3 linked regions of the Sus scrofa genome follow. The protein of the gene in region 3 purifies or fractionates together with the protein of the main gene of each other region. This does not show direct contact. Links are inferred from orthologs where the notes say so. Each region holds a gene or a part of one and is shown on either strand. Other genes may lie near its edges.

Region 1 (3,651 bases), on a different chromosome or scaffold from region 3:
TCTTCTCTTCAGCGGCGGCACCTAATCCTTCTCTCGTTGAGGGTAGGTTAGTTTTAGTGACTTGCTTCTACCTTGATGAAATAATGGTGTGTATCCATAGAGACTAAGTCATAAAAACCACTGAGGCTTCTTTATCTTTTCTGGAACACTCAGGGGAAAGTCAGCTACCACGTCATGGAACACTCAAGCAGTTCTATGGAGAAGCCCATGTGATGAGGAGCCAAGGCCCCCAGCAAGGAGCTAAGTCTTCCTGCCACCAGCCACCTGTGGAGGTACACAAGCAGGTCTCCTGGCTCCAAGTAAGCTCTCAGAGAGCTGGCTGACATTCTGACCACCACTTTATGAGAAACTCTGAGACCGAACCGCCTAGCTAAGCTGCCCTGGAGTTCCTTACCCACCGAAAAATGAGAAGCAGTAAATATGTTCTTGTGTTAAGTCATTACATTTTAGGGTAATTTATCGCAAAGTAATTGATGACTACTAAAACAGTTATTACACATAATAGTTACATTAAAACTTTTTGGTCCCTGCTCCTTTTTCAGAGCATCCTATGTGTTCTTTAGATATAATAACCTCATTAATTTCCTCAAGAATACTATCTAATTTAGAGGTATTTCCATAAGTTCTCATTTATTATCTAAATTATTTTCTGCTACTGGCAGTTTTTCTGTTTATTTTTTATTTTCTTTTTAATGCCACTAATATGTTTGGCGTTATGTATTATCTTAGGTCTTGACTCTTAACTTTTGCCAAAAGAAAGTAATGCTATTGGTATGTAAGAATGCAAAAATGGGCAGCTGATTGGGCTTTCTTGTTCTGCTATGTGGAAGTAGGTCCATCCCAGCTGGGAGCTCCTCTGATTAGGGTGAACCCCTTCGATGAATTCCAGGACACTAATCCCCTGGAGGACTTAACTCTCTACACAATTCTTTCCGCCTTGTATAACAAAGAGCACATCTGTTTTCTTCGGATGCATGAATGACAGATTGCTTATATCCTACAACGTAAGGATCAGAAGCTGCTGGTATACTTGTTTTGATTACAGATCTTCAATTAATTCATCATTTTCAGCTTTACTTCTTACTCGTACTCCACAACATATCCCAACTCTGAGCCCAAAGTCTCTCCTGAGTTCTAAAGGGAAGAATGGCTCCCATCATGGACCCAAACAAATTATGGGCTCTCACTTTATGTTGTTTTATCTATCAAATCACAGTTGCCCACTTTCAATCCTCCCCGCGCCCCAATTTCTTATTGACTGATATCTTCTCTTCTTCCACTTACTTTCTCTTTATGGTTTCATCTCAATGAGACATGAGAGCTAGGAATTAATGCATTACTCAATCCAACACCTTCAGAATTCCACATAAGGCAAAGCCTACAGACTTTTCTACAACTGTCACCCTTACTTTTTTGTCTTAAATTAAAACTTGCCTATCCCATGGAAGGTCACCTCTTCTGCTACAGCCATCTCAAACAGAGACTGATGTTTCAGTTGTGTACTATGTACTACAGAGTGGAGACAAGATAGATACCCTTCTTTTTCTTCAGTGCTACTTTTAGGCTACTATCTTACCCTCCTATAAAAATCCCTTGCTCCATTGAGGCTCTCACTTTCTGCATAATACCACATCTCCCCCTACCAACAAGCATCTAACAACCCTGAACCTTTGGCTGCTGACTCACCATTTTCCTCTCCATGATATTATAACATGAGGTGACCTCAAAATCTGTGTATATAAAGATATTCAAATCCTTGGCTCCTTGGTTCCTTACATCCATCATCTCTTGTAACCTCCCCTATACCACCTCGGTGACCACTTTCACAGATTTATCCTTGATCTTGTCATACCAGAAATTGAACTGCTTCCAAAATCACCACTATAATCAGGTCTATTCACCCAGCTCACTTTAGCTTAAGAAATCCTTGGAGTTCCCGTCGTGACACAGTGGTTAACGAATTCGACTAGGAACCATAAGGTTGCAGGTTCGGTCCCTGCCCTTGCTCAGTGGGTTAAGGATCCGGGCGTTGCCGTGAGCTGTGGTGTAGGTCGCAGACGCGGCTCAGATCCCGCGTTGCTGTGGCTCTGGTGTAGGCCAGTGGCTAAAGCTCCAATTGGACCCCTAGCCTGGGAATCTCCATATGCCGCAGGAGCGGCCCAAGAAATAGCAAAAAGACAAAAAAAAAAAAAAAAAAAAAAAAAGAAATCCATTACAACAAGTATGAATATAATAATAAGCTCTTTTCTCAATTACCTATAATAATTTCCTATTTTTCTTTACTCTTCAAATCCTTTTGCTCTTCTCACTAAACCCTCACTCTCAGCTAATAACCTCGCCCTTCACATACACTCTGCATCTCATTGCTTCTCTCCTTCTCAAAACTTTGTTCTATTGGTTATGTAGTTTACCTCCTGCATTTTCACTCTCTAATCTCTTCCTCTCAATTGGCTCCCCCTTAGTATTAAAAAAGAAAGAAAGAAAGAAAGAAAACTCCAGTATTTCAGCTTTTAAAAAAATGCTTCTGTAGATGTACCCCTCCCCATATATGCATATCTGCCTCTAGCTACTGACCAGTCCCCTCAACACTCCCCATAATTTGAATTTTTTATTTGTATGACTGTCTCCCCAGAAGATTAAGCTGCATGGGGCAAGAATTCATGAATAATTATTGTATACTAACTTCTGATACAATGTTAGTGCCTGACAGAGAGTTCCATAAATATTTTTTGAATGGATGAGAACTCAAAATTACTACCATTCAGTATAGATTTGTCACTAGTTATAAAATATTAAAATGTTAAAACTAAACTAAGACTCAGTCTTGATTAAAATAAGCTGCCACTCTATTCTTAGTGTAATTGTTTTAAAATCCTGATACTTAGTTAAGTTGAAATACAGCACTAGCTCACCCATATCATTCTCTTTCCCTCCCTCCTGGGAAAGAGTGGCCCCTGAAACCACAGAGGACGTGGAATTGGCTGGCAGGTATCCAACGTCTGTTCCTTCACTTGTTAATCCACTCTGGCGCAACTTAGCAGAATCTTGAGGTTCAGGACTCACAGAAGAGGGTGTGGCTAAATGCTTAGGGTGGCGCTGCTTCTGTAGTTCCATGGCTCTGCCAACTGAACAGAAAGTAATGGTTAACAATTTGTGTTGCAAAATAGCCAAAAAAGAAAAGATAATGAAAAGAATCCAGAAAAATATCTGGAATGTGGTGGGCCCTACAAAAATACACATGAATTATTCCACAGAGTGAGGAACAGATAGGTACAAATAAGAAGGAAGGGAGGAAGGGAGGAAGTGAAGGAAAAGAAAGAGAAAAGAGAAGGAAGAAAGGAGGAAAGAAAGAAAGTGAGAGAGAGAGAGAGAAAAGCAGGGAAGGTGGAGGAGGATGAGGAGAAAAGGGTGGGTGATGACAGAAGACAAGGGGGAGAGAGAAGAGGCAGAGGAAGAAGGGTCATGAGAAAAGGAGCTGAGGAGAGCAGTGGTGGGTGGGGGAAGAGGAGGTTCCAAGAGACAGACACATATGAAGCTGTATTCATTTCTATGACTGAAGATGAAGCCTTTTAGCTCTGTGAGTTCTTAGCAAACTTCTCCCCAACACTCACAACTGTATCATCACAGTACACCTCAGAGACTACGCAGAAT
Region 2 (2,552 bases), on a different chromosome or scaffold from region 3:
GGGGTGGCCTGGCCTTGGGCTCGCTGGTGCCGAGGCAGCCTGGAGCTTGGATTCAAGTCACTTCTCAAGGAGGCCCTCCTGGCCCCACTCCTCCCAGCACCTGGTCTCCATCAGGGACCCGCCCCCAGTCCCTTCTCACCCTGGGCTACACCCCATACCTAGGGCACGGTGGGGGCAGGGCCTGGGGGAGTCCGGCTCTCACTAGCAACGGAGTCCTGGCGCACAGCCATGGTTCCATCCTCAGCTGTATTGCGGGTTTGGGATCTGCCCATTCCAGGTGCAAGAGACCAAGAAAATGGCAAGCCACCCACCTGCACCCTTTGGGTACGCTGGGCCACACTGATTCCCATGAGTCAGTGATGGCTGAGAGCGTGTATTTCAAGAGCAATGAAATTAACAGCTAGACAACAGATACCCGTGAAAGCAACTGTGCCACCATCATCCAGGGGCAATGGTGTGGGGGCAGGGGCACTGTTCTCCGCAAAGAGTTACGCCACGTTTTGTTTGTGTTTCCTTTAGAGGCTGCGTGGGGACAGAAGAACATACACACACTTAATTAAAATATCCAAAGAAAATTTACTGCAACTTTTGTAGAATCGAATTTTGTGCTACAAGACATGTTGCATAGGAAACAATTTAAAGCCCCTGAGGAAAAATATCCATATTTAAGGTGCGACTGGTTTGGTTTCTTCTTTGGGGGGAAAGTGAGAGATGCTCTCTGGGAAGACTGAAGGCGGAGAGTCAAGAAGCAGAAGGTCAGGTGACTTTGGGTGAGGATCGGCCGAGTGTGTGTCCAGGCTCCTGCAGAAGAAACGAGGCAGGGCTCTTTTCGTGGGTGTTTCTAGCTAGTTGGTCTTCAGTATCTGAATCAACAGCCTTCTAAGAGTGTTGCTGCCTGAGAGAGCATTTACATCAATGAGGCTAAGTAATTAACAGGCCTCCAGAAAGCGGACAGAGGGAATGACATTCAGGGATTCCAGATGGCCTAGCATCCCTCAGGTGAGCACAGCGCGTGTCCTGGCTCCTTCCTGGGGATCGACTCCTCAGATCCGCTGGAGTCTTCAGCCCCGCCCCTCACTCCCTCCTGGCGATGCAGCCGGAATTCAGCCCAGCACGCGGATCTGCAACCAGCGTTGGGAACTCAGTGGGCCCCACTGTATGCGGGAAATGTTTTCAGAAAACATTCATTTTGCTTGGGTAATCGTTACAGTGTTTTTTTTAAAAGAGACTTCCCTATGCTATTTACGTCCAAGGAAAGATGGACACACCAGGAGGCCAGAGGGGTGACGTTTTAGGTGAAATGGAGTTTGGCAAACGGCAGCGGACACCCCTGGCCATGAGCATTAGGTGCATGTGGGGTGGCGTTTTCTTCACACCCGGAGGCGAGGCTTTGAGCTCCGCAGGAAGCACTCCCCCTGCCTCCAGGGAGAAGCAGGACAGTGGCTTTAGAGCTTCGGGGACCCCCTCCCTCCAAATGGTGCAGCTCTTTTGCAGGACTGAAGGCCCCCGGCAGGGCGGGAGAGAAGGCTGCCTGCCCGCTGCCCGCTTGTCTCAAGGGCATAAAACTGGATTTCCCTCTGGCCGCTAAAGCTCAAAAAAGCCTCCCCTGTGCTGTGGCTGATCCTTTCCTGCGACACGGGGCCGATGTACAGAAGGTAAATAAAAACACGAGGAAAGCCAGGCCTAGGATGATCTCGGGAAGAATGGGTGAGGACCAGACTCTTGACTGAAACAGCACGGTTCCTGTTTGACTTCGTTTTCCGTACAGACCCCAGACGGCCCAACGCCTGAACGAGTGTCTTTCCGAGCTCAGTGTTGAAATGCCGAGTGTGCCTGGCAATTAGAAATGCTCCCACGACCCTTAAATACATATATACATCTGGAACATAATTTAAAAAGGTCTTTCGAGAACATAAAAACCTCAACAGCATCTGCCCCTATGAAGTGTTCTTTTTTTTTTAAATCTTTATGGTCCATTAAAAAATTAGGTATCACCTTTCTCATCGGCCCCTAGCCCCCCATACTTTAAAAAAAAAGTGATTTTAAATCTCAAGGTATAATTAACAAATAGAAAGCTATTTGATTGGCAACAACCTGCCGTAGCAATTCCCACGGCCCCTCCCCTGTGACAGAGGCGGTGAGTGGAGCGTTGCATGTGCTTGGTCCGGGGTGCGGGTCCAGCCGGGAGGGACCCTGGATCTAAGGGAGCAGCCGACCCTCCCTGTCCACCCCCAGCTCCATAGGACTGCGGGGCGTCCAGGGCAGACGGAGGGCAAGTGGCCCGCCCCGTGAGCAGCAGGAGGTGGAGGGACCCCTTCAAATCACATAGTCGTCCTGGTCCATGGGACTGAAGGCGGCTGCTCGGAGGACGTCCAGGGAGTTCACCAGGATGAGCGTCCCTGTGAGGTGTTTCCAGCGCTTGGTGATGGGGTTTTTCATCTTGTCCAGGCCCGTGTGCAGCTCCTGGATGACGTCGCGGTAGCTGTCCCCGATCTGGTGGCTCCAGGTGAGTAGAAAGTCATACGCGGGTTTCCACATGGCCTGGATGGGAG
Region 3 (4,289 bases):
CCAGCTGTGCAGCCCCTGCCCCCCACGCACACCTGATCTTTACAAGGCTGGCTTCTTTTTGTCATCCAGACGTCAGCTCAAAAGTTGCCTCCTCCAAGAGCCCCCCCTTTGCCTACAGATTCTACCATGCCACTCCCTTGTATTTTATTCAAAGCACTTATTACCCTCTGCAAGTATCTTCTTGTTAAACTGTTTGTTGCCTGTTTTCCCCCCTTTCGAATGGCAACTCCCCATAAGCATGGATTTTTGTCTTGTTCACTATTATATCCTCTGTGCCAGGAACAGTACTTGGCACATAGTAGGTGCTCAATAAATATGTGTAGAATGAATGAATGTGTCTTAAACCCTTCATTCTGATTTCTCTGGAGCCCCTCTATCCCCAGAACATGCCCACTGTAGAGTTGCTAGCTGCCACCTCCTCACCATGTTCCTAGTCTCCCCTCAAACCTTAACACAGGGACAGAGGAAAAGGAGTTTAAGCCCAGGGCATTGAGCACATTCGCTGGAATCCCAGCATCCCCACCCTCTTTTCTCTGGGAAGGGCATGAAACTCAACAAGCCATAGTTATACAGAGTTGCAGTGAGGGGAGCAGGAAGTGGGGAAGGGGGTTCCTGGGAGCTCATACAAGCTGTAGGGGGTGGTGGGGAAACACCACACCCAGGCTCCCCTTTTCAGCAGGGTATTGCTTGGGAGAGGAAGCCGGGAGGCCTCTGATTCAGTCTTGAAAAACCGGCTCCTGGGTGTTTCCGGGGAGAACGCCTACTGTCCTGGGCCCAGGCTTCCCAGGAGGGCCTAGCAGGCACAGGACCCCACCGTGCTGCCTCCCCCACCCCCATCTACCTCTCCTTCAGATGTCACTTTCTTCTCAAGACCCTGATATTTTGTCCTTGCCTTTTCCAGTTTAGGGGAGAAGGGACATGAGGGCAGCTTCCTGTTTGAGCAGCTGGTGAAAGCAAAGACCAGCGGGTGTGGCCCAGATGGCATGTCTGGTTGGAGGGGGTAGAGTGGGAGGAGCTGGTCAGAAACACCTGAGCCTTGGAACCACTGGGCATCTAGTCTAGTGGTTGAGACTCCTGTTCTGGACTCTAAGGCATGGGTTTGAGTCCCAGATTTGCCACTCACTAGCTGTGTGATCTTGGGCAAGTCACTCTAGCTCTCTGGGTCTACCGCTTCAGCTCCGAAAGAAGCAACAGCACCTTCCATGAGGTGTTTAGATTCAATGGTAAATATGGCATGGTAAATAGCTGACACGGAAGTGCTCAATAAATGCTAGCCGGGTTATTTATTTTCATTATTTTTATCGGGACCTCGGTCCTCCCCAAGCCTCCTTAGGCCCAGGAAGATTGAGAAAGGCCAGCTGTGGAGAGTTGCCCAGGCAGGGCTCAGAAATACCGATCCCGCTCCTGTCCCCTCTGGGACGGGAACTGTCCAGAGTGCAGGGAGGTGGGATGCGGCTGGAGAGCCCATCCCGGCGGCGGGAGGCATTTACTCCTTCCTCCGGCAGGAAGGCAGGCGGCCCGCTGGGGAGGGGCCTCCGGCACCCCCTGGCTTAGTCTAGACCTCCAGCCTCGTTCCATAGGGCCGGCCCTACCTCGTAGGACCTGCCAGATCCCCGTGGATCTGCGATCCCACGGATCCGCGCTAGGGTCCCTCGAGCCGCCGCGATGCGCACCGCCCGCAGGGGACACTCACCTGCATTGCCGCCTCCCAGCGCGCGCCCTGCTTGGCCCTCGGCAAACTCTGGCCCGGGCCTCTCCAGCAGCACAGCCAGGGGGCGGGGCCTGTGCCCGCGTCCGGCCAATCAGGAGCGGCCGCTCGGCGTTCGCGGCCAATCGGCTCCACGCCCCCCGCTCCGGGTGGAACCGAAGGAAACATTCCAGAGGGATCCCTGAGCCTCGCCCGGCTCTTCACGACACCTCCCCCGCGCCACGGAGCATTGGATCTTCCCGCCCCTCCTAAGCCGCGGCGGGCTGTACCACCGCAAGGCTGCGGAGGGGGGAGCTGCGGCTGGGCCCCGGCCAATCTCAGAGAAGGAAGGAGGCCAGTGGCCAATGGAAAGCTGGGACTCCTGGACCACGTGCTGTTCGCTGAGTGTCCGGGTGGGGTGCTGTGGCTGGTAAGAAGCTGGGGGCTAGTCTTGGGAGTCAGGAGACCGAGACTGAGTTTCGCAGAGAGGATGAAAACTGCCGAAGTCCAGAAAACGGACCCGCTAGGAAATCCGGGAGGGAGCCAAGGGCAGCTTCAGATCCAGTCCTCCGCCCGGCCTGCCCCTGCCCCTGCGTGGCCATCCTCGGGGTGGATAAAAACACGCATTCATTCCGAGCGGGCAGGCGGGAGACTGAGATGAATAGGGAGGGTCCCGAGTGTCCCTGCATCTTGGATGGACAATGGACAAGGGCATTCATTCATTCATCCACTTATCAAATATTTAATGTGCCCCTGGTCCGTGCCAGTCTCTGTCCTATCTCTACAGACACACTGATGAGTAAGCTGAAAGAATGTGCTCCTGGTAGAAGGAACAGCGCGTGCAAAGACTTAGAGGGCGGACAGAAAGATACAGCACGCTTTAGGAGAGTACAGTACTGTAGGAGCTAGCAAAGCAGGGTGAAAGGGCAAGATGCCCTGTTCGCTCGTTGGTTGACCAGCGAATATTTATTGAGCACATACTATGTGCTGGATTACAAAGGGATACCCAGCCAACCCAAGCCTCTGTCCTCAGTTTCTTACATCTGACTGTTCTCCGCCTCCCTACCCCCACCTCCAGCCCCAGACTGGCACAGAGCAGGGTCTCCGTACATATGTGTAGGTAAAAGAACTGGGTAATCTCACCATCTCCAGGTTTGGCTTGTAACCAGGATTTCTCAGGCAGGAGCAGGTCCAAGAAACAAAGATACCAACACAACTTGCCCAGGCCAGGAAGCTCAGTTCCCAGGACAGGTGAGATTCCCTTGTTCCAGGAACAAGCCAGCCACTCAGGCAGCTGGGGCTGGACCGTAGTTCACTGTGTGTTCTGGGAATTGTAGTTCTTGGAGACCTAACTTCTCAACCCTCATTGAACGATTGGCTCTTTGCAGTTCCCTGGATGAGATGCTGAGCGTTCCAGCCCTGCTAGGGCCTGCAGAAGGACAAAGTAAAAAGGGAGCTTGAGCCCTGGACTTAGCTGCTGAGGTCTGCCCAGGCAGCCCCACCCAGCTGGCAAATACCGAGACTGCAGAGGCAACAGGGACAGCTAATGTCCTTCTCTTCCTGTTCTGCTGACCTCTGCCACGCCCACTGAGCGATCAGTTGCCTCTGGCTAGGCCTGTGCCCTCTCTGGGACTGTGTCCACTGCCCTGCTTATGCCTGGCATCTAAGCTGCTTCCTAAACACCTGGAGAGGACAGTATGTGGGCTGTGGGCACAGCAGAGTCCTGAGCGGAATCCACATGATTCTACCTGTTGATGAAGAAGTGCCCAGGGAGGGGTGAGGGCAGGGGCACAGAGCAACACGGGGCATCTCCTTCCTACTTTGTGGGACTTCAAAGTTTCTCCAAGGAAATAAAATTCAAAAAGCCTCCAGCCAAGATAAGAATTACCAAACCCTTATCATCCCACCTGTCTCACTGTAACTGTTACAATGTTCGTAAGGACCTCCCCACCCCAGCAACTTGGCCTACTTCTTGCTCCCTACTAGGAAAGGTATGTGGCCCACTCCTCACCTCTTCCCCTTGATCAACCTGGCCTACTCCTTCCTGCCCCCCACTAGAAAAGGTATGTAGCCCACTCCTTACCCCACCCCTTTAGGGGCAACATATGGCCCCAAACTACCAGCAGGTGTATCCAAAGACCCTGTCTTTCCCCAACCAACCAGCAAGTGTATCAGAAGACCTCATTCTTCTCCAACCAATCACTAGGTCCTCAGGTGTATGGCAAGACCGCTTCTTTGTCTTTGGGCTATAAAAACAGACACAACCATGCCCCCAGGGTCTGCTCTCCCTGAATATCAGGAAGTCGACCTGATGTGTTAACAGTGTCTCTTGCTTCAATATACTTGTCTTTTCTACACCTTGCTTTAAATTTAGAAAATTACTTTTCCACCCACGTGCAGAGACCACAACATACTTGATTTTATAGCTCAAGAAGCTAGGAGGCTCAGTGGGTGAGGAGGTCAGATTTGAGTGCTACCTCTGCCCCTTTTAGGGGGTGGGGGTGGGGAAATAATTCTGGAATGCCAACTAAGACATGAAAAAGCAAATGCTGTGTTTGAAAAAAATCACCATTTTGCAACAAACAGAGGAATGATTGATTCA

The links.
Region 1: the proteins of GIPC1 (region 3) and ARHGEF12 purify together in Homo sapiens (co-immunoprecipitation; 4 studies listed by BioGRID and IntAct, with this or other methods). This does not show direct contact. The link is inferred for Sus scrofa from reciprocal best matches to the Homo sapiens genes GIPC1 and ARHGEF12.
Region 2: the proteins of GIPC1 (region 3) and SH3BP4 purify together in Homo sapiens (affinity purification with mass spectrometry; 4 studies listed by BioGRID and IntAct, with this or other methods). This does not show direct contact. The link is inferred for Sus scrofa from reciprocal best matches to the Homo sapiens genes GIPC1 and SH3BP4.

What each region holds. Positions count from the first base shown.
Region 1 is NC_010451.4:47,587,618-47,591,268, reverse strand, and holds part of ARHGEF12 (rho guanine nucleotide exchange factor 12), read right to left. Parts: intron 3,126-3,651; coding exon 2,913-3,125; intron 1-2,912. UniProt on the Homo sapiens protein: May play a role in the regulation of RhoA GTPase by guanine nucleotide-binding alpha-12 (GNA12) and alpha-13 (GNA13). Acts as guanine nucleotide exchange factor (GEF) for RhoA GTPase and may act as GTPase-activating protein (GAP) for GNA12 and GNA13.
Region 2 is NC_010457.5:135,092,806-135,095,357, reverse strand, and holds the end of SH3BP4 (SH3 domain-binding protein 4), read right to left. Parts: intron 2,542-2,552; coding exon 2,317-2,541; 3' UTR 557-2,316; downstream 1-556. UniProt on the Homo sapiens protein: May function in transferrin receptor internalization at the plasma membrane through a cargo-specific control of clathrin-mediated endocytosis.
Region 3 is NC_010444.4:64,779,099-64,783,387, reverse strand, and holds the start of GIPC1 (PDZ domain-containing protein GIPC1), read right to left. Parts: upstream 2,942-4,289; 5' UTR 2,831-2,941; intron 1,790-2,830; exon of another isoform or gene 1,694-1,789; intron 1-1,693. UniProt on the Homo sapiens protein: May be involved in G protein-linked signaling.